Xenopus tropicalis: one gene and its partners. The protein of the gene in region 5 purifies or fractionates together with the protein of the main gene of each other region. This does not show direct contact. Links are inferred from orthologs where the notes say so. Each region holds a gene or a part of one and is shown on either strand. Other genes may lie near its edges. The genes, in order: prkd1, lpar2, plcb3, kctd5 and slc9a3r2.

Region 1 (4,142 bases), on a different chromosome or scaffold from region 5:
TGCCAGACAGATGTGCACACTTCTGCACCCCTTACCCCTCCTGTCTTTTTGCATTGCACTCACTTTCTTAACCCCTGCTTTATACAGTTTGCATAATAATCATTTAAAACATATCTGGCGTGTAAGGCTTAATTAATCAAATAAACCCCTTACTTTAATTTTGATAGTATTATAGTTTATTCACTCAAATCGTGCTTCACTGCTTGTGGCCAATCAGTAGATTCGTTCCGCACTTTCTCAGCACTGAATGGGTTATGGCACCTTTGCACTGAGCTTCCCATCAGCTGCAGTTTCCATCATGTAATCTGGTTTTAGCAATCATTTCCTGGAGCCATTCCAGCTAGAGCTCAGCTTGGAACAGAAATCCCTTGGAAATGGCCCACAGCTCAGACTTAGTATCAAGTTTTAAGGCTCCAGGGTCCTCTATTCCAACCCAGCAGAGCCACCGTGTGAGGGACTGTGGGGAAGTGCAGTGTTTTTATTAGGGTTAGCACTCCGGGGTGCCTAGGGCAGTGTTATACCAGCAACTACATGGGAAATTCTGCCACCATGAGGCAGCTTTTTATGCACACGTGGTCTTAAACATGAATCATCAAAGCATTTATTACTCGACTGCCACAGGAAAAAAAATACCCAGCAATCTTACTGCCTGTTTTGTCCTTCACGTTAGCTACGGTTCCTATTTCACTTTGTGGGGAAAATGTAAGGGTAAAACCAATAATAGTAACAGCAGAAACAATGATGTGGCCTCCAGTATATATCATCTGTCTGTTTACTCTGGGAATTATCTTTTGTCTCATTGCCACAAGTATTCCAACTGCAGCTCCATGTCCCAGCAGATAGGTTTCGGCTTATTTGGCAAAGGCATGACCCATGGATATCAGTATAAACTGATTTATAATATGTGCCTGCTAGCGAGTGCTTAGAATGTGAGTTGGTCTACATGAGCAAGTTTGATTTTTATGATTAGCTTCTTTTATTTATATAGTGCTGATGCATTCTGGAGCTTTAGAGAGATTACACATCATTTACTTCGGTCCCCCTGCCCCACTGGAGCTTACAGTCTAAGGGTTCTCTTACATTCATTCACACACTATGTTCAGTTTTAACAGGATCCAGTTAACCTCCCTGTATATTTTTGGAGGTCCTGGTTGTTTAATTTCTTCATAAACCACATGAGGTTGATGGCTTATAGGGTTTCTCTTTACAAAATCACCCCTGTTGCCCCCTATTCCATTTGAATGGAAAACACCTGACTGCACAAGGAGAAAGATGCTCTAGGGCAGTGATTCCCAACCAGTGGCTTGTGAGTAACATGTTGCTCACCTCTCACTTTGATGTTGCGCCCAGTGGCCACAAAGTAGGTGCCCATAATTTAGTTTTTGGCTTGGAGACAAGTTTTGGAAGCTCAGACAAGCCATTTTACCCTAAGCAGAGTCTCCTGCAGATCAGCAGCCCATACAGGGCTACCAAATAGCCAATAGCCCTTATTTGGTATCCCCAAAAGAATATTTTTTATTTTTGTGTGGTTCACCAATATTTTTTACATCTGAGTGTAGCTCACAAGTAAAAATAACATTGGGGATCCCTGTTAGGCAATTACTATTAAAGCAAATGGGAATTGTCAGGGGTGGTTTATTGTTCGCTTCTGTGCTGGCTCAATTACACCAGTGATGAAATTACCCCATGTACCGTTTTTACATGTGAAGACCGTTTTGATTTGCTTAGTTTGAGGGTAAAGCACTTGTGCTAAATTCTTTTACTTGTGTCATTCTTGTCACCTTCAAGAAAACCTGTTGGTATTCCTATTCGCATCTTTGAGGAAAGCATTAAATTTCCGAATACTTTATTTCAGAATTAAACCTTTATGGAGTAAAATAAACCTTAATTATAAACTGTATTATGTAACTATATTGATAAACAAGGTATATTGTCAGTATAGTTAGGACGGAATGAATTGTACTACCACTTTTCTGACCTTTCTGTGTTAAATCCACAGCAAAAATCTCCATCAGAATCCTTTTTGGGTCGACATAGTAGATCCGGCTCACAGTTACATATTGGCCGCCCGATTAAACTGGATAAGTTCTTCCTGACAAAGGTGAAAGTGCCTCACACATTTGTTATCCACTCGTACACCCGGCCGACTGTTTGCCAGCACTGCAAGAAACTGCTAAAGGGCCTCTTTCGGCAGGGATTGCAGTGCAAGGACTGCAAGTTCAATTGTCACAAGCGCTGCGCGTCAAGAGTGCCTCACAACTGCCTGGGGGAGGACGCAATTAATGGAGGTAAATTGGGCGTGCTATTTTTTCCCTTTACTTTGTTCTCTGTGAATGTGTTGTTTCATGCATATTGTGCTGAGGTGATTGTACTTAATATTTCATGTCTGCCTTAATTTTGTTTTTAAGACCTATCTGATGTAATGATGGAGGAGGGGAGCGATGATAATGAAAGTAGACCTGAGGACATGGATGAATCCCCCACAACAGACTCAGAGGGTTCCATATCAGGCTGCCGTAGTGAAAATGGAGAAATGCAGGAACCAGACCAGGATCAAGATGCATCGGACCGGACAATCAGGTAACTTTAAGGCAGCAAGTACGTTCATCAAGATACGTGAAGATATCACCAGGAAAGGGTTTTACAGTACTGTAAAACTGAAAGCCCAGCTTGAAGGTCAATTGTGTAACAATCTAAAGGGCTGATTCCCCAATGGCTTATAATATCTGTAACCTTTTGGTGAAAGAAAGGGAGCCCTCACCAGAGGTTTGACCTCCAAGGAGAGCTTGACAGTCTAGCATAAAAAAGTAAAGTTAGTGGAGTCAGTCCTGAAATCATTTGAGGCGTTTGAAGATTACAAATTAGGAAAACATAAGCTTTGTAGTATGCACATGTATAGCCAAAACAGTACTGGTCATAGTAAGTCCTTTGACCAGAACATTTACTTATGGACACATTGACTAAAGATTATTGGAGAATAATGATTCAGGAGATCAGCTAGCAGTAGGAATATTTGAGAAGCCTTCTCTAATTAAGAAGCACTCTATCAAAGAGAAATTCATTGACGGATGAAGATTTTAAGCAAAATATTTACACTAATGGCATTTGTAAAGACTAATGTTAGCAATGCATGCTTAGCTTTATGTCTTATTTTACAGTTTATCTATTTTCTTTCAGCCCTTCAGCCAGTAACAACATTCCATTGATGAGAGTAGTCCAGTCGGTCAAACACACAAAGAGGAAAAGCAGCAGTGTTATGAAAGAAGGCTGGATGGTACATTACACCAGCAAAGATCCCATGGTAAAAAAAGAGAGAGGGTGCCATTTTCTCTGTACTCGTTCCATTCTGCACAGGAGGACTGAGGGTTACATGTTGTGGCCAGTGGAGCAAAATTAAATGAGAGTCCTCCTCTTGTCTTCTTATATGGCCAGGCACTGCCTTGGCACCAGCCACTGCATGGGTGGTTTACCCTTTTTCTAATTGCTTTAATATACAGATCTTTTATGCCTTTATGTCTCTGGTTACATTCACACAATATATGTTCACTAAAAATGTTGGGATGGGATAGTCTGCCCATTATCATTTTTACATGCATATGTTTGTTTATTTATATGTACAAAACCTGCTATGCTGCAAAATTCTCCATGAACGCTGTAGAGATAGTGGCCTCTTGTGACCAATGTGTCACAAGGCAAAACATTATTATGAGTCTTAATTGATCGGTATTACTGCCTTTCACATACTTGATGCATTGTGTTCATTATGCTAAAGATTAAAGGTGAACTATCCCTTTGATGCTGTCAAAGCATCGCCAACGAGTTGCAAAAATGTAAAAAAAAAAATCCTTTCTGGTGAGGGCCACATCGGCACACTGATGTTATCTATCACTGTATCTACCCAAGCCCCTATTATAATTCTGATTTGATTTGCTGCATTGTTGGGCAAATCTGGTGATAATCTGACAGTGAATGATCAGGTTTACTTGTCATTTTCATTCTGTCTTTAGATTTACAGGAGTCTTAAAAGATAAAAGGAGTCATGATTGTTTATTTTTTTTTACTTTAAATATGCTGGAGCAAAATAACCAAGTCATCCAATCTTGCATGCATACCACAGATTGCATAGGTCCTGCTTTGGCCAG
Region 2 (4,652 bases), on a different chromosome or scaffold from region 5:
GAATTTTAGTCCATACTGTAACTTTTTTTTTTTTTTTATTTATTAAAGGGTCTCCTTAGTCCATACTGTAACTTTTTTTTAAAATTTATTTATTAAAGGGTCTCCTTAAACTCTCAGGCTCCTGGTTGTGCACACTAATTTCTGTGCCCCCACAGTACATAGTGGGCCCCGGTGGCCAGACCTGACGCTTGCAGGCGCTCCCCCTGCCCGACCATTCCTCCCTTGGCGAGTTAAACTTACGCGCGCTCAGGGGGGACCCTGCGGGGGGTTAGGGGGTACCTTAGGCAGGAGAGGTTAGGGGCCGAGGCCAATGGGGGGGGCACCTGCACCCCCCCGTCTGACCCGTCACCCCCCCGTCCGACCCTGCCTGTGGGCAGAAAATGTTTATTGAAGTCGGACTGGGCCACCAGGATACCAGGAAAATGCCCCGTGGGCGCAGGTGTAAGTGGGCCCTCCTGCTCCTGACCATTTGGCCTGTTTCATGCTCAGGGTCGGACTGGGGGGTGCAGGGCCCACCGGGGCTCCCGCCCCAGGGGCCCTGCAGGTGCCCCAGCCGCGTCCCCTAACCCCCCCAAGGTCCCCCCTAACCCCCCCGAAGGGCCCCCGCCTGACGTCCTCCCCGAGCGCGTATAAATTGAACGCGTCGGGGAGGAACAGTCAGTAGCGGGGAGCGCCGGCAAAGGTCGGACTGGGCCGCTGGGGCCCACTAGGGCCGGGGCCCACCGGGATTTTTCCCGGTGTCCCGGCGGCCCAGTCCGACCCTGTTCATGCTCATTCCCTATTTCTGAATGGGAAGGAAGAGGAGAAATAGATGGAAGAATAGCTAGTATGTATGTATGTATATCTTTATTTATAAACCGCTACTTATGTACGCAGCGCTGTACAGTAGAATACATTAATACAAACAGGGGGTTATTAAGATAATAATAGATAAATACAAAGTATAACAATAAATACAGATAAATACAAGATACAGTTGCAATAAGTTAAAAGAGTCAAAGACACAAGAGGAAGGAGGTCCCCGCCCCGTAGAGCTTACAATCTATATGGGAGGGTAACTAACAGACACAAATAGGCAAATGTAAGTGCTGTAGGTCACAGTGGGTGACACTACAGTATAAGCGTAAGTAAGAAACTAGGAGAATAAAGAAGTTAGAAAGCAGAAAAGATAGTTTAAAAAGTTGGCCTATTGCCTAAGGTTTTTTGGTGGGCTCCTGGGGTCCCAGTCCGACACTGTTGAAGGGAATGAATAACTTGGCTCCTCTCTACTGCGTCCTGAGGAAAAAGGAGTTAACGCTAAGCCGTTTGAGAGCCAGTCGTGCAGCAAGGCCACGCCCCCTGGTGACACACCTTACCGAGGCCCCTCCCCACTGTTACACCTTGCGCAGAGGTGTTTGGCTGTGGCAGCTTTGCTCCGCCCCCCGCCCCCAAACCCTCTCTCACTGTGCCTGGTATTTGGCTGCCGGAGCGGGTTAGGCGGGCTGGGACTTGTCTCAGGGGAAAGGCTGTGTCTCTCCCAAGGGGCCCATGTTGCGCTCTCTGATGGAGGGAGAGAGGGGACAGGAGGCTGCGCTGTAACATTGGAGGTAAGGAGCCATTGGGAGCCCTGGGACAGGGGTGCGGGACTTACTGAACAGAAACTGCGGAGAGTTTCGCCCGGGATCCCGGAATGTAAATGCGGAGGGGCACTGTGCATTCCTAGCGACAGAGGGGGGCAGTATAATATATAGGGATGAATTGAGTTGGGGCAGAATCATATAAGGGGGGCAGTATATATATATATATATATATATATATATAGGGATGAATTGAGTGGGGGCAGAATCATATAAGGGGGGCAGTATATATATATATATATATATATAGGGATGAATTGAGTGGGGGCAGAATCATATAAGGGGGGCAGTATATATATATATATATATATATATATATATAGGGATGAATTGAGTGGGGGCAGAATCATATAAGGGGGGCAGTATCCTGAGTGTCCCTCTGAGGTGGTGGGGGGGGAGGCTGAGAAGAATCAGTATGGCAGGGCTTGTTGAAGGGAAATCGCAAGGCGCAGCAGAACGGAAACAAAAGAGAAAACAAGTAGTATCAATGCTGCTGGCCATACTGTAACCAGGGTGAGCCAGACCTGACCAGCTCCATCTACATAGGTAAGTGCCTGGGGCTCTGTATGAATATTCCATGTGCAGAGTGTAGTTCAGCAATGTACAACCCTAATGGCAATAGAATAGCTTTACACAAACCTTTTATATCTAGATATTGATTTTTTGTTTGTCTCCTTGTCTGTTTTTTATCATTGGCACAGCAATAGCTAACATATCCTTTTAAATGGTACTTAGTGAGGTCATCAGTTGTCAGTGCTATATCAGTGATGTCACATGCCTCATCATTGAAAATGGTATATTATAAAAGTGCACCTTCTATTGTAAAATATGAGCATGTTAGGAGTCACCTTGGGGGTCACGTCTTGTGATGGGATTCCTTAGTGACTTCTAGTATCCTTATATTTTACAGCAGGGGGTACATCATTCCCTGTACAGTGCACTTTTGGTTACAAGTATTATATATATAGTGAATCTGTTGCACAGCCAGCATTGGAAGGGGCTTTGAGTTTTAGTGAAAGTGCAGAGCTGTGCGGCAGCACGCAATGAGATATACAGTTCGAGACTAGGCTTAGAAATGTGCACAGCAGGCAGAAACAAACCTATAGCCCTATAAATACAGTTTCTTTACCACTTCCTCAGTTTCATGTGCCAAAACCTACAGACAAACGTCTATACACAACATTTGTCTTTGTTAGATATGCAGGGTGTATACAACTAATATAAACTGGCTAATCAACATGGACTGATCATGTCCAGCCAGGGTAGATGGGATTACTGCCCGCATCCTGGGGCATTCTGAGCAGATCTGTGTTGTGGGGGGGGGGAATACTCTGTGAATTTTAGGGTTTTCTGAATCTTATGGACTATGGCACGTGTAATGTTTCCCTGCCAGTCTGTTTCAGTTGTGGAGAAACATCTGCTACCTCTGTGCCTCCTGTCATTGAGAAGAGAGGAATGTGTGGTTTCCATTCATATTAATGATAGACGGCTCAGCTAGGTATCAGGTGTTCGCAAGCTGCAATACATTCATGTGCTTTAAAGGACAAGTTATATTTATATATAATATAAATCTAAACCACACCACCCATACTGACCAGTACAGCCTGCTTCCCTGTGCCAGACTATACTAGGCAGCAGGGGCGGGCCAAGCCGACCGGGCGCCCTAGGCAACCCGGTCGGCCAACTCCGGCGGTTAGATCGGTCATTGCCTCCGCCGCTAATGACAAATTAGCACTAGGGGTAGGCAGGAGAGGCTCCTGCCTGGCGCCCCTAAATCTTCTGCCTACCCCTAGTTCCGGCCCTGCTAGGCAGCACAGCAGGGTTGGTAATGACTGACCATTTAAATGTAAGTAGTAACGTTCAGAAGAATGGTGCCTGCAGGGCTCCTGTACACCTAATTTAAACTATTGCAGGATCTGCAGCAGTTGCTAAAACTCCCAGGCAGTGGTTTCAAGGGGGTTCTGGGAGTTGTAGTCCAGCTGTAAATGAAAAGCTATTGTTTGGAGTGGCCCTGATTTGGATGTTGGATTTTTCTATTTGCTAAAACCCAGTGTTGGTCCTGTATTTGGGTAATAGTTGGAAAAGTTGGAAATCAGTCAAGTCAGTGTGGCTGTTAAGTGCATTGGCATTAGAAGGTGCAACAGGTAACTTCAGCCAGATCTGGCTAATGTGGTTGGTCACATACAAGTAGGGTTGAGCCCAGGATCCCATGTGGCCACCCAGTTCCCACATCAGTCATTCATAAAGAAATAATATAAAATGTGTGACGCTGCTCACATCAAACCAGGGTGCAGCTTGTATGTGAATAGACACATCATGGGGCCAAATATAGCTGTGCCGGGGGCCTAAGGCCGAACAAGTCCTGACATTCTCTGGTTCTAATGTGAAACTTTACGGAACGTGAGAAAAATGATTAAAATTTGACTTTTGTTTCTGTTTTACACTGTATCACCAGGCAGAATTTTATAGGTTCTGCTGTGTTTGTGTGGGCAGGGGGCTGAATTGCGCCACAGTGCCTGTGTGAGAATGTCTGTTAATATGCATTTTCTTTTTGTTCATGTTCAAAAAATTCTAATCTTTATCTATTGCATATAAATGTTCTTTCTTCCTGTTAAACAAAAAAAGTGTAATCAGATTTTATGTCTTGGTTTCCAGACGTATTTTTTTTTTCTTCTTTATCTGAGGCTGCTCAGATTAGGGCAATCTGCAAGAAACTGGTATTCTATTGTAAAGGGCACAGGGCCCTTAATAGAGTTAATTAGAAGAATGAATGAGTTAAGGAAGCAAACAAGTGGACATTATCTTGAAAAAACAGAATTTAATGCAAAATGACAGAGGGAAAGTACACACAGGAATCCGTGTGTTGCTTTTGTGTATTGAGAATGCTTTTACGTCTGTGTGTTTTGCATTGGTAGGGGCCAGGTCTTTTGAGTCACTTAACACAATTTGCTGGACAAAAGCCCTTGTCACTAAGGGCAAGAATACATGGGACGTTTTGTCGCCCAACAGGTTATTGTTATCCCAAGTGTTCTTACC
Region 3 (4,577 bases), on a different chromosome or scaffold from region 5:
GGTAGGTACCATGCAGGGTGACAGAGGGGTACACATTACCTTGCATTGCCAATATAGGTTGGTAGGTACCATGAAGGGTGACAGAGGGGTACACATTACCTTGCATTGCCAATATAGGTTGGTAGGTACCATGCAGGGTGACAGAGGGGGTACACATTACATTGCCAATATAGGTTGGTAGGTACCATGCAGGGTGACAGAGGGGGTACACATTATATTGCCAATATAGGTTGGTAGGTACCATGCAGGGTGACAGAGGGGGTACACATTATATTGCCAATATAGGTTGGTAGGTACCATGCAGGGTGACAGAGGGGGTACACATTATATTGCCAATATAGGTTGGTAGGTACCATGCAGGGTGACAGAGGGGTACACATAACATTGCCAATATAGGTTGGTAGGTACCATGCAGGGTGACAGAGGGGTACACATTACATTGCCAATATAGGTTAGTAGGTACCATGCAGGGTGACAGAGGGGTACACATTATATTGCCAATATAGGTTGGTAGGTACCATGCAGGGTGACAGAGGGGTACACATTACCTTGCATTGCCAATATAGGTTGGTAGGTACCATGCAGGGTGACAGAGGGGTACACATTACCTTGCATTGCCAATATAGGTTGGTAGGTACCATGCAGGGTGACAGAGGGGTACACATTACATTGCCAATATAGGTTGGTAGGTACCATGCAGGGTGACAGAGGGGTACACATTATATTGCCAATATAGGTTGGTAGGTACCATGCAGGGTGACAGAGGGGTACACATTATATTGCCAATATAGGTTGATAGGTACCATGCAGGGTGACAGAGGGGTACACATTATATTGCCAATATAGGTTGGTAGGTACCATGCAGGGTGACAGAGGGGTACACATTATATTGCCAATATAGGTTGGTAGGTACCATGCAGGGTGACAGAGGGGGTACACATTATATTGCCAATATAGGTTGGTAGGTACCATGCAGGGTGACAGAGGGGGTACACATTATATTGCCAATATAGGTTGGTAGGTACCATGCAGGGTGACAGAGGGGGTACACATTACATTGCCAATATAGGTTGGTAGGTACCATGCAGGGTGACAGAGGGGTACACATTACATTGCCAATATAGGTTGGTAGGTACCATGCAGGGTGACAGAGGGGTACACATTACATTGCCAATATAGGTTGGTAGGCACCATGCAGGGTGACAGAGGGGTACACATTACATTGCCAATATAGGTTTGTAGGTACCATGCAGGGTGACAGAGGGGGGTACACATTACATTGCCAATATAGGTTGGTAGGTACCATGCAGGGTGACAGAGGGGGGTACACATTACATTGCCAATATAGGTTGGTAGGTACCATGCAGGGTGACAGAGGGGGGTACACATTACATTGCCAATATAGGTTGGTAGGTGTGGGGCTAGGGCGGGGGGCGTGTCCCGGGAGTGCGTAGGTAAGGAGATGGTATGTGAGGAATGTGACAGGGCTGGATGCCGCCCCAGTCACTAGGCTTTATACAGGTGCGATAAGGAGAGGTGACTCGGTAGAGAGGCGCAAAAACTCAGCGCCTAGGAGCTGTATGTAACGGGACTCGGTTAGGGGCTGACAAGTTCATTTCGGGAGGGGGTAGCTGGGCGTTTCTTCCTTACAGCCCTGGGCGCTCCTTACTCCGTTCTCCTCATCCCGCTTTACTATCCCTCCCTTCCCCTCATTTAGCCGCCCATTCAGTCTCTCCTCCCTCACTGCCCTCCCCTTCTCACTCTCCTAGTTTCTCTCCACCCCCTCAGTCAGTCCCTGCTTCTCTCTCGCTGCTGCCTCCTCCTCTTCCTCGTTATTTTGCCCCCCTAGTTGCCCCCTGCCCTGTTCCCCAAACATGGCGGGGGCACGGCCAGGGGTTCACTCTCTTCAGCTGGAACCAGTCAAAGTGCCGGAGACTCTTATAAAAGGGAGCAAGTTCATCAAGTGGGATGAGGTGAGACGAGGGGAAAAGTTCTAAACTGGAGAGGGGGCTACTTACTGTGTACTGGCGGCTGCTGGGGATACACGGCTCAGTGACTCCCACTGACAAGAGATGGGCGCCGGCATTCTAGATTTCTTAGAGCTCTGTGGGATTTTGTAAGAGAGTGCTTGCAGTGCCTGCTGGGTAAAACATGTCTAGAGACTGGGCAGAATTTGCCTAGAGGGTCTTGCTGATCGCGTAACTTAACCTAGGGGCTTCTGGGTATCTGCTGGCTGATACATGTTCAGAAGCTGCTGAATATGAAAATATTTATTGGGGTTCAGGGTATCTGCTGGGAAATTCTTTGGGTATCTGTTGGCAAATACAAGTCCAAAGGGTTGTGTTGGGCAGTGTTTGTACAAAGGCTGCTGAGTACAACTTGGTACCTGGTTACCTGCAAACAGTATAATTCACATGCTGTCAGGTATCTAGAGGATAGCACTGTTTCAGAGGGGTGTGGGTATCTGCCAGGCGAATCTTGTTCAATGGCTCCTGGGTATCAATGTAGTACTTGCTTAGAGGCTGCTGGGTATCAGGGCAGTACTGGGGTATTTCCTAGGTAATACTTGCTCAGAGGGGGTTGCAGTACTTGTACAGGGTGTTCTTGGGATCTACAAGGCAGTACTTGTCCAGAGTATTCTGGGTATCTACAGGGCAGTACTTGTCCAGAGTATTCTGGGTATCTACAGGGCAGTACTTGTCCAGAGTATTCTGGGTATCTACAGGGCAGTACTTGTCCAGGGTATTCTGGGTATCTACAGGGCAGTACTTGTCCGGAGTATTCTGGGTATCTACAGGGCAGTACTTGTCCGGAGTATTCTGGGTATCTACAAGGCAGTACTTGTCCGGAGTATTCTGGGTATCTACAGGGCAGTACTTGTCCGGAGTATTCTGGGTATCTACAGGGCAGTACTTGTCCGGAGTATTCTGGGTATCTACAAGGCAGTACTTGTCCAGAGTATTCTGGGTATCTACAGGGCATTACTTGTCCGGAGTGTTTTGGGTATCTACAAGGCAGTACTTGTCCAGAGTATTCTGGGTATCTACAGGGCAGTACTTGTCCGGAGTATTCTGGGTATCTACAAGGCAGTACTTGTCCAGAGTATTCTGGGTATCTACAGGGCAGTACTTGTCCGGAGTATTCTGGGTATCTACAAGGCAGTACTTGTCCAGAGTATTCTGGGTATCTACAGGGCAGTACTTGTCCGGAGTATTCTGGGTATCTACAAGGCAGTACTTGTCCAGAGTATTCTGGGTATCTACAGGGCATTACTTGTCCGGAGTGTTTTGGGTATCTACAGGCAGTACTTGACAAAGTGCTCTGGGTATCTACAAGACAGTACTTGTCCAGAGTTTTCGGTGGTATCTACAAGGCAGTACTTGTCCAGAGTGTTCTTTGTATCTACAGGGCAGTGCTTTTCCAGAGTGTTCTGGGTATCTACAGGCTGTATTTGGCCACAGGGGTCTGGGTATCTACAAGGTAGTGCTTGGCCACAGGGGCTGGGTATCTACAAGGTAGTGCTTGGCCACAGGGGGCTGGGTATCTACAAGGTAGTACTTGTCCAGAGGCAGTACTTCTGCAGAGGAGTCTGAGTATCTATAGGCTGCCTGGTATCTGGAGGGCACTTCTGTTTAAGAGGATTGTGTATATCTGTCAGGTAGAACTTTGTTTATAAGCTGCCGGGTATCAGTGCAGTAGTGGTTTAGAGACTGCTGTGTATCATATTGCTGGGTATCTCCAGGTCAGCACTTGATTATAGATGGGTATCAGTAGGGTAATACTAAGGGGGTTATTTATCAAACATCAAGTGGGCATTTTTTTTCTCAGTTCGAGAACAATCTTGATGCAAATATATAAATATAAAAATAAATATATATATAAATATAAAATTGGGTAAGTAAAAGCTGAGTTTCTATAGAAGTCACTAGGAATCATCTCTAACAACTAACAATTTGTCAGCTTTATTGAAAATTAATGAAACAATGTGATTCTCTTTTGTGTGCAAAGTCAAGAAAAAACATTTGTGCGCTTTTTTTATGCAATTGCTTTTTTTTTCTTCACCTCAAAGATTAGTAAATAGACCTCTAAATAGCTATACATTTTTAGGTGAAATAAATTGGTAACTTACTGCTGGATAGCTCCAAGACAATACTTGTTGAGATGCTAAGGGGCAATTCTCAGAAGTAGAGGGAACCTTTTTTTGGAGTTAAAGTGGTGGCTAAACTGGTGTGAAATACTTTTTCCATACTCACAAACAGAAATCCACCTCAATTGCGACTCAATGGCCACTTTTCAGTCTTTGCTCTAAAGAAGGTACAGACAATCAAAGGAGTACTAGAAGAAAAATAAATTCCCCAGTACAAAGAGTGACTGTCGTTTTACAGAACATTTTTCCTCACACCTCACTACATTACAAACTGTACTGCTATACACCGTTTTACAAATATCCTTCAGGCATAAGTAAATACATTTTATTCTGTTGAAACAACAGTTTTTTCAAGTAGCCCATGTAGGTTCTTGTATAGTATAACCTAATTCCTAGCTAGCGATGGCTTTCAGACTTTTCAGGGTTTTTT
Region 4 (4,142 bases), about 10 Mb from region 5:
TAAATTTCAACAAGAACAAGCACTTGTCTCTGAGGCATTTATGTATTGATTGGTGCTGCAGAGCCTTCATTACAGTTCCATTTGAGTACTGTACCACTGCTAGCCTAATTAGCACATTGAGGTGATGCCTCTAAATGGACCTGCTATTCTCGCCCAAAGTGCAGTTGTTTAAAAGGCTAAAGATTCTTTTGTGACCATTAACTGCACAGAAATGTATTGCAACCATGTAAACACCTCTCTCAGGCATTGTAGGTTGTTTGAATATGTTGGGTTCCACAGGTGGGATCATCCGTAAGATTTTATGGTCATTTCAAAAAGGGGGTTAGAGGAGTGTCCAACAATACATAATTGTGTCCTGCACAAACTACACATTGAGGCTTATTTGCTAGCACTGGGCAGTAACCCATACATACCAACTCGGGTAGGGGAATGGAAGCAAAAATAATTGGTTAGTATGGGTTGCTACCCAGTGTTGATAAGCAAGCCCCACAGTTTATATTCTTTATAAGGTCCATTGACTTCAATGTGTTTTGCAAACCTTTGCAGTTGAGAATTTTTCAGCAAAACAACATGGTGGTGGTTGTCAACCAACCAATTCTAGTGGTGCTGAGGCTGACAGGGTTTTGAAGGAAAGAGTTATGCTGTTGTGCAGAAAGGAGATGCTGAGAGGACAAGGATGCTGTTTGTTTATAGCAGAAGTTAATGGAGCAATCTGCCAAAGTTGCTTTCAGAGCGCATTGCTGGCCGGACAATGCTTAGTGCTGTATTGTGTGTGCTGTCCAGCCGGCAAGTCTCATTGAAACCTACATTGGCAGCATATTTCATTAAGTTCTGCTATAAACACAGCAGCTCTGTCTTCTCCGCATCTCTCTATAAAGGAGGAGTATTGTTATATGCAAGAGGGCAAGTTAACCCTTTTTCAAAAGCTTTACGTTCAGCAGTGCTTTAATATTACACTGCAGTCAGAACGTTGGTGTCCTGTCTTGATATAGCACCTTCAGCCATGGATGCTCAAAGTACTTAGAAATGAAACTGATGTGGTGGCATTACAATGTTGAGAACATTTTGTAAAAAAATCTCATACAATGAATATGGAGCTGTTCGATCAGAAGCTACATTGAGCACACATGTTCTACCAGTGTGTGCTTACAGTTCCATAAGGTCACAATTCTTTATATGGCTTTTTTTATTTACTTAAGTACAACAATGTCTTTCCTTGCAGTGAAGTTAAATTTATAATGTAGTGTGTAGTTTAGTGACCTTGATGCAATAACTGCACTACAAGTAGACCCCACATTGGTAGTCTGGCCTCACACAGTTACTAGAATTACTGATGGTTTGGCAAGTCATTCTGCTGACAGCTATAGCGCATATCTTTGTCCTGCAGACGTGCACAGAGTCATTTTTCTTCCGGGTGTTGGCATGTACTGGCCTGCACACACACAACCACTGTAAAGTCTCTAAGTATATGTCATAAATTGCCATTATTATAAGCCACTTTCACATAAAATGAAAGCTATTTGGTTCGGTGGATTTCTGTCTAGTTTTCAGAATGTTGAAAAGCAAGCAGAAGGATTTAAATTTAAGTTTTTGTAAACTGGGCACTAAGTTTGCCCAGGAGCAGTAACCCATAGCAACCAATAAGATGTTTGCTTTTCAACAGGTGACCAGTTAATGCTGCCTGCTGATTGGTTGCTAGGGGTTATTGCTCCTGGGTAAACTTAGGGGCATATTTATTATTCGCCACACATCACCGTGTAAAATCGGCGTAATTGTTTTATGCGTTTTTTTCTTCCACCGAAACTTATGGAAAATAACTGCTTAATATCCGGCGTTCAGATGGCGATCTTTTCCATTTATTTTACACAGCTTTTTACTCCGTTTTTTTCGGTGAATTAGTTTTACACAGCATAATAAATACGCCCCTTAGTGTCTTTTTATTACATAATACATATTACATAAGGGCATGAATACATGCTAGGTTACATTTTTTCCTGTCAAGTGATTAGTCAGGGAACACGTGTCACAAAATGGTTGCTCTGGTTTAAAAGTATAAGGGAGCTGTGTTTACTGATGTATGCCAGTTTGCCAAGATTCTTTTAATATGTCCCTTCTGATACAGTATATAATCTGTTGGGGTACATCCTCCTGTCCATTATCCTAATATTTTCTCCCTCCTTTTTAAGTTGGTCAGTATTGGCTCCTCCTACAACTATGGAAACGAAGATCAGGCAGAGTTTTTGTGTGTTGTGTCGAAAGAGTTACAAAACACCCAATATGGCACAACTAGCGAGCCAAGCGAAAAAGCAAAGGTATGTTTTCTGACATGTGGATATTTTTTTTTTTTTTTTTAAATGATTTTTAGAATATGTAAATACTGTCCTGCACACAGGAAATCTGAAACATGCCCCTTCCTTTTGCCTTGTTACATTTTTGCTTTGCAGATGTGCTCCATTCAAGTGTTAATTGTTACAGCAAGGTCTGAGAAAAGCAGATCTATGCTACGTGTGACTTTGCCTTTTAGTTTCCCTATTACCGATTGTTACTAGTTGTTGCAAATGCAGATACTAGTTTTAATGTTTTTTTTAAAAAAAAGTAAGTTATGGATATAAATAATTTTAATAAGAATAATACCAGAACCAGAAAAATATTTTGAAACTCACTGGTATTTACACTATTTTAAGTGGATTGTTAACCTCCAGTGTAGGCACGCACTTATATTTCCTGGAATGAATACAGTGTGAAGGGTTTAGTAGCCTTTGCTTGTACAGCATTAAAATATGCTTTACTAACAGATAAGTCCTAGCCCAGAAAGAATGAACATTAAGGTTTTAAGCTTTGGAGTGGAAGTCTCCAGATAATTTGTTTGTACAGGCCTCCCTGTCTGACCTGTACATTCTTCAGGATTGTAAGGAGCCTCCACACCCAACAAAAATCCACTTAACTCTGGGAGTGTTTAATAAGTGTACCTGCTGCCCTGATGCCTGAAGTTGCATGGATAATTATTTGGCATGTGTCCTTCAAGTTGTGCCTGAACCCCAGAAGCATTGAATCTGCCCAGGTGCAGGCACATGCAGCTGATATTCACAAACGCTTGTATTTGTTGGTGGATATCTGATTAAATGCTTCAGAGTGCAGGCACAACAATGATTTTTTGGGGAAGTGTAGGGTGTATTGTTGGCCTGCATTTATCTGCAGGCTGACAATAAGCCCTGTGTGCACTTGTCCTTAGGTTAATGCCACACGTGGCAGATTCTCGGCCTGGATTTTGACTCTGAAATGCATTAGTATGCATTTCACAGTGAAATTGATTCTGTATGCATGCATGCACCTAGGCCAACACAGTGGCTCTGGGTGCAGACACAGAAAAGCGCTGATTCAAGCGTAAGGGTGTATTCTCAACCTGTGTTTATCTGTAAGTCGAGAATCTGCCATGTGTTACATTAACCAGCGTACAACTGCACAATTCCTTCACAATTTTTAGCTATACAGGTGAGGTTCAGGCAATAATTGAGCTTTCAGAGATAGTCACCAGTGCATTCACAGCTCAGAGATTATCATTAAAGTGTATGGTGGGGCATGTGTCAGTATTTTGTTCCTAAATCAGTTTTCCTTAACTGATCACCCTTATTCTGAAATGCAAAATACGGTTTAGCTGCTAAAGATCCTGTCTGTCTAATCTGTTTGGGCAACAGCCAGTTTATAGGATTATGGCCTGTAATGTACATGTGACTCTGTGTATAGCCAGCTTATCAAAGGCCCTGCCAGTGGCACTAATCTTTAGTATTACAGGTATGGGACCTGTTATCCAGGTATGGGACAGTTTTTTGGATAAGGGATCATTTCATAATTTGGATCTCCATAAATCTAATTACAAAAAATCACTTACACATTAAATAAACCCAATAGGATTGTTTTGCCACCAATAAGGATAAACTATCATTAAGTACAAGGTACCACTCATCACAGAGAAAAAGGAAATTATTTTTAGAAACATGAATTCAACTTTCAGGTTAAACCTGTATTCTCCTAAAACAGGGTATCTACACCACCTTAATGTCTGCCAGTAATCAGTCATGTTTATTTTTATGCACTTAAATGGTCTTTGTTCTCTTGCATCGGACACTTTCTACCTTGGAAGC
Region 5 (4,142 bases):
AAAATGATGATTAAGTAGAGGCTGTTCATCCAGAACAGTGCTGTCCAACTTCTGTTGTACTGAGGGCCGGAATTTTTCCGACCTACGTGGTGGAGGGCCGATAATGGAAGCCAGTTTTGACCACTCCCCTTTTTGAAACCGCACCCACTTGAAACCACACCCATGTTATCACATGACCATACCCATATTAATGGTTGTAGTACAGCAAAAACCTGCCATACTCTGCCTGCCCTACCCTGCCTGTGTGTGCCATACTCTGCCTGCCCTACCCTGCCTTTGTGTGTGCCATACTCTGCCTTCCCTACCCTGCCTGCGTGTGCCATACTTTCACTGTGTGTGCCATTCTTGGCCTGTGTGTGCCATACTCTGCCTGCCCTACTCTGCCTGTGTGTGCCATACTCTGCCTTCCCTACCCTGCCTGTGTGTGCCATACTCTGCTTGCCCTACTCTGCCTGTGTGGGCCATACTCTGCCTGCCCTACTCTGCCTGTGTGTGCCATACTCTGCCTTCCCTACCCTGCCTGTGTGTGCCATACTCTGCTTGCCCTATGCTCACACACAGGCAGCCTACAGTGACACAATGCTGGCACTGCTCCTACAGTCTGCACAATAACTATATATTAAAAAACTTTTTAATTGCAGTACCACCTCAGTATATGTTCTTTTTGTAGTATGCAGGGATTATTTGTGGGTTTCTACTGCTCCTGAGGTGTGAAGAAGTGAACAATGGGAGTGATTACAGCCTGAGCCTGAGGTGTGAACACTGCAGGGGGTAGAACAATGCAGAGATTAAAAGGTGTGAACAACACAGGGGATTACATATTTAAACAATACAGCCTGATTACAGCCTGAATCTGAGGTGAGAACCATGCAGGGGGGGGGCAGTTAATCACAGTACTGATACCATTTAAAGCTTACACAAAGGTAAGCCATCAAAGCAGCCAGACAGGTGGGGGGCCACACAGAGGGGGGTCACGGGCCGCATGCGGCCCGCGGGCCGCCAGTTGGACAGCACTGATCCAGAAGGTTTGGGGCAGTTGAACATTCTAAATTACCTTGGGTTAAGGGAGTGCCATAAATAAACTTTAACTACCCAGAAGCTGTAAATGTATCCAGCACCCAGTTTGGTGCATATTTTGCATAGTGTCAGTTCCCCTTTAAGAGCTGCTCCGTGAGTATCTGACTTCTGCTTTCTCTCCCCGCGGCAGGTGGTTCAGCGCATTAAAGCAATAGAAAACGAAACGCGGTTGCTGGTGGTGGACAGAGAAACTGATGAGTACCTGAAAAAATCCCCACCCGGCTCACCTACTGAATCCCAACCCAACTCCAGCGCCCCCTCAACTCCGACTCCAGGGAGCAACAACAACGGCGAAGTATGGAAAACAAAGGAGGACACAAGCCATGAAGATCAGCTACACAATAACCACAGCACGGAGAACGGGAAACAGGTAGGTGAATTGTTATGGGGCACTGCCATTTTGGCTCTAAGCCATTGGTGGCATACAACTCCCAGCATTCTTATCAGGCCATGACGTTTAGGGCACACTAGAATTTGAATCAGTTGGCTATCCCAGGGACAATCATATTATATTAGGGGCCCTGTACAGACCCCACAGGAGACCTGGTGTGGTATTTCCTTGACTGAATTTTCAAACTTGCGGACTCCATCTTAAGTGGACAAACTAGCTGCTAATTTTAGCCAATGTAAGGCTACCTAAAATGCCGGCCACACAGAGAATGAGATGGTGTGACATTTTATAACCCATCAATGCTTTGTTTATGGATCTGACCACTGTTGAGTGACCACCATGCATTCTGATTGGATCAGAACAGGTTGCACCGTGCTGACACTGATGTCAGCTGATGCATTCGGAAGGCCATCAACAAATTGTAGTTGCCACCCACTTCCTGTGCTATCTTATTGGCTAATGAGCATAGCAGTACAGCAGTCCTATTCATTTTTGTGGTGACATTACACTCAAAATGAATGATTGACTCTGTAAAGGAACCAAATGATTGGATTGGGAGCTTCCAGCTTGTGACCAAGGCCTGAGGGGCCAAAGTGCGCCCCCATAGTACAGAGATCAAAACACACATATGGGGTCGCATATGCCAGATCAGTCGCAGTGCTGTATATTTTGGCAAGTCCTCATCATTTCAGTTGACTTTGTTTACTTTTCTCATTGTTCTGAAATCGTATAGTGGAACATCTGGCTAAAGGGGCCCCCTTTAACCCCTTCCTGGGAAGCAAATGTTTGTACCAATGGGGTAGCTGCAGCCGCTCTCTCTATCCCCGCTTTGGCATGTTGTTTGGAATATCCCAAGTGACCTGGAACATTTTATTTTGCTGGAGTCTGTTTCCTCTCACCAACCCCCCCAACCCTTCCCGCCGCCCCTTTTCCTGAATCACAGGACCACTCGGCCGGCTGCACTCATGTTGTTAAGGGTTGTCTGCGGAGCTCTTTATTAAATACTCTGCCTAGGGCTGTAAAATGTTACAGTGACAGAAAGCAGATCTGGGGAGGTGTGGGGGCAATGTAGGAGCATGTGACTCGGTCCCAGATGATGATTAAAAAAAAAAAGATCTTTAAAGTTTATTTTACTTGTTTTTTTTTCCTATATATCTTAGAAAGTGTATTTTTCCTTTTTGTAATTGGAGTCCTGGGGCAGGTTGGGTACCCAAGCATTACCTGCAAGAAAAGCAGGTACCCTGCGGGTTGCAGGTTGGATTCAGATGTGGATATAAATGGGGGTCGGATTTTGGATCTTATCCATATTTTTTGTCTGATATTATATTATTTATATTTTACCCCTTTTATATTGTGCAAAAACTGCAACTGTCTGCAGGGATGGACTATTGCATTGTGTGTAAACACATGGCAAGAAATGCCTGTCATGAAACCACACATGATACAGACGATAAAGGTGTTGCAAACTTTACAGCTTCTTGAGATTTCTGTAGCCGATAGCATCCCACCAACCACATGCTGCTCATAATCCGCTTTTTCCAATGCGGTTCCAAAATTTTGAAAACCTTCTAATCCTACACACGGATAAAAGCAGATAAGGCCGACCAGTTGGATCAGCCGGTGGGATGCAGTGTTTCTGTGTGTTTTCCCCTAATCCTCCCGCCTCCGTGGAGAACGGCATTACATCTGTTTGTGGCTATTGCTAAGCCGGCGTGTCTGAAGCAGTGATTATGTAGGCAAGGGGGGTTTAGAAGGTCCCAAAATTCCTTTACAGGCTTTTAAATTTTAATTTAGTGGAATTATTAATTCATTTACCAGTTTTGCAATCAGGCTGGTAGGTTTAAAGACTAAGGCTAATTTACTTAGGGGGGTTTGACCACCAGGGAATGGCTGTTTAAAATTCACCAACGTCAGTTTTTTCCATAAAGATATATGGGAAACACTGTTAAAGGTGAACTAAAAAATTGTACATGGCTAGAAATACTTTTATATACTGAACTTAATGTACCAGCCCAGAGGTTCAGCAGCCCTATAACAGTAATGATCAAAAGTTGTCCCCAGCAGCTCCCCATGTTCGATCTTGTTAGGCCATCTTTTAAATGTCAGTGGCACTGCACGTACTCAGTGTGCTCTGGACTGCTGTTGGGAAGCTCAGCTTAGGGGTCATGGGAAAGCACCAAAACATTAGCAGTGAGGTTACATCTGTCATGGAAGCTGATGCTACAGGGCTGATTATTAAATTCCACCTGAATTAATTACTAATTTGCCTTGTCTTGGGCTACTGTATGTGTGTGTGTATGTGTGTCACTTGAACTAAAGGTCCAGCATGCTTGATAAAGGGGTTGTTTTGCCTCGAAACGTTGCACTACCGCAATAAAGTTTGGAGTAAGGGCTTGTCCCGTTTGTAGCCTTGAGTGCCATTGCATTATTTGACAATTCTGGACTTTTGGAGGGTGCCGATCCCTTTGGCAGTGAGCACCGGGCGCTTAACTCATTCTGGACAGTTAAGGGCGTGCGATTAGCTGCCGAATCGATATCAGCAGCTACTATCGGCCCGTGTATGGGGACCTTTACAGAAATCCTGTGGGCCCCATCTCTAGTGGACCCCAGCACAGGATCTGCAGGGCAGGGCATAGTCGGAGGTTCTCTGTACAGGGGAGGAAGGTACATGTTG

What was found.
Region 1: the proteins of slc9a3r2 (region 5) and prkd1 purify together in Homo sapiens (affinity purification with mass spectrometry; 3 studies listed by BioGRID and IntAct, with this or other methods). This does not show direct contact. The link is inferred for Xenopus tropicalis from reciprocal best matches to the Homo sapiens genes NHERF2 and PRKD1.
Region 2: the proteins of slc9a3r2 (region 5) and lpar2 purify together in Homo sapiens (affinity purification with western blotting; 3 studies listed by BioGRID and IntAct, with this or other methods). This does not show direct contact. The link is inferred for Xenopus tropicalis from reciprocal best matches to the Homo sapiens genes NHERF2 and LPAR2.
Region 3: the proteins of slc9a3r2 (region 5) and plcb3 purify together in Homo sapiens (co-immunoprecipitation; 3 studies listed by BioGRID and IntAct, with this or other methods). This does not show direct contact. The link is inferred for Xenopus tropicalis from reciprocal best matches to the Homo sapiens genes NHERF2 and PLCB3.
Region 4: the proteins of slc9a3r2 (region 5) and kctd5 purify together in Homo sapiens (affinity purification with mass spectrometry; 3 studies listed by BioGRID and IntAct, with this or other methods). This does not show direct contact. The link is inferred for Xenopus tropicalis from reciprocal best matches to the Homo sapiens genes NHERF2 and KCTD5.

The regions. Positions count from the first base shown.
Region 1 is NC_030684.2:112,884,619-112,888,760, reverse strand, and holds part of prkd1 (serine/threonine-protein kinase D1), read left to right. Parts: intron 1-1,999; coding exon 2,000-2,288; intron 2,289-2,408; coding exon 2,409-2,580; intron 2,581-3,177; coding exon 3,178-3,301; intron 3,302-4,142.
Region 2 is NC_030679.2:135,175,755-135,180,406, forward strand, and holds the start of lpar2 (lysophosphatidic acid receptor 2), read left to right. Parts: upstream 1-1,462; 5' UTR 1,463-1,586; intron 1,587-2,035; exon of another isoform or gene 2,036-2,162; intron 2,163-4,652. UniProt on the Homo sapiens protein: Receptor for lysophosphatidic acid (LPA), a mediator of diverse cellular activities. Seems to be coupled to the G(i)/G(o), G(12)/G(13), and G(q) families of heteromeric G proteins. Plays a key role in phospholipase C-beta (PLC-beta) signaling pathway.
Region 3 is NC_030680.2:35,416,571-35,421,147, reverse strand, and holds the start of plcb3 (1-phosphatidylinositol 4,5-bisphosphate phosphodiesterase beta-3), read left to right. Parts: upstream 1-1,556; 5' UTR 1,557-1,874; coding exon 1,875-1,973; intron 1,974-4,577. UniProt on the Homo sapiens protein: Catalyzes the production of the second messenger molecules diacylglycerol (DAG) and inositol 1,4,5-trisphosphate (IP3).
Region 4 is NC_030685.2:28,815,824-28,819,965, reverse strand, and holds part of kctd5 (BTB/POZ domain-containing protein KCTD5), read left to right. Parts: intron 1-2,186; coding exon 2,187-2,312; intron 2,313-4,142. UniProt on the Homo sapiens protein: Its interaction with CUL3 suggests that it may act as a substrate adapter in some E3 ligase complex. Does not affect the function of Kv channel Kv2.1/KCNB1, Kv1.2/KCNA2, Kv4.2/KCND2 and Kv3.4/KCNC4.
Region 5 is NC_030685.2:18,846,192-18,850,333, forward strand, and holds part of slc9a3r2 (Na(+)/H(+) exchange regulatory cofactor NHE-RF2), read left to right. Parts: intron 1-1,207; coding exon 1,208-1,447; intron 1,448-4,142.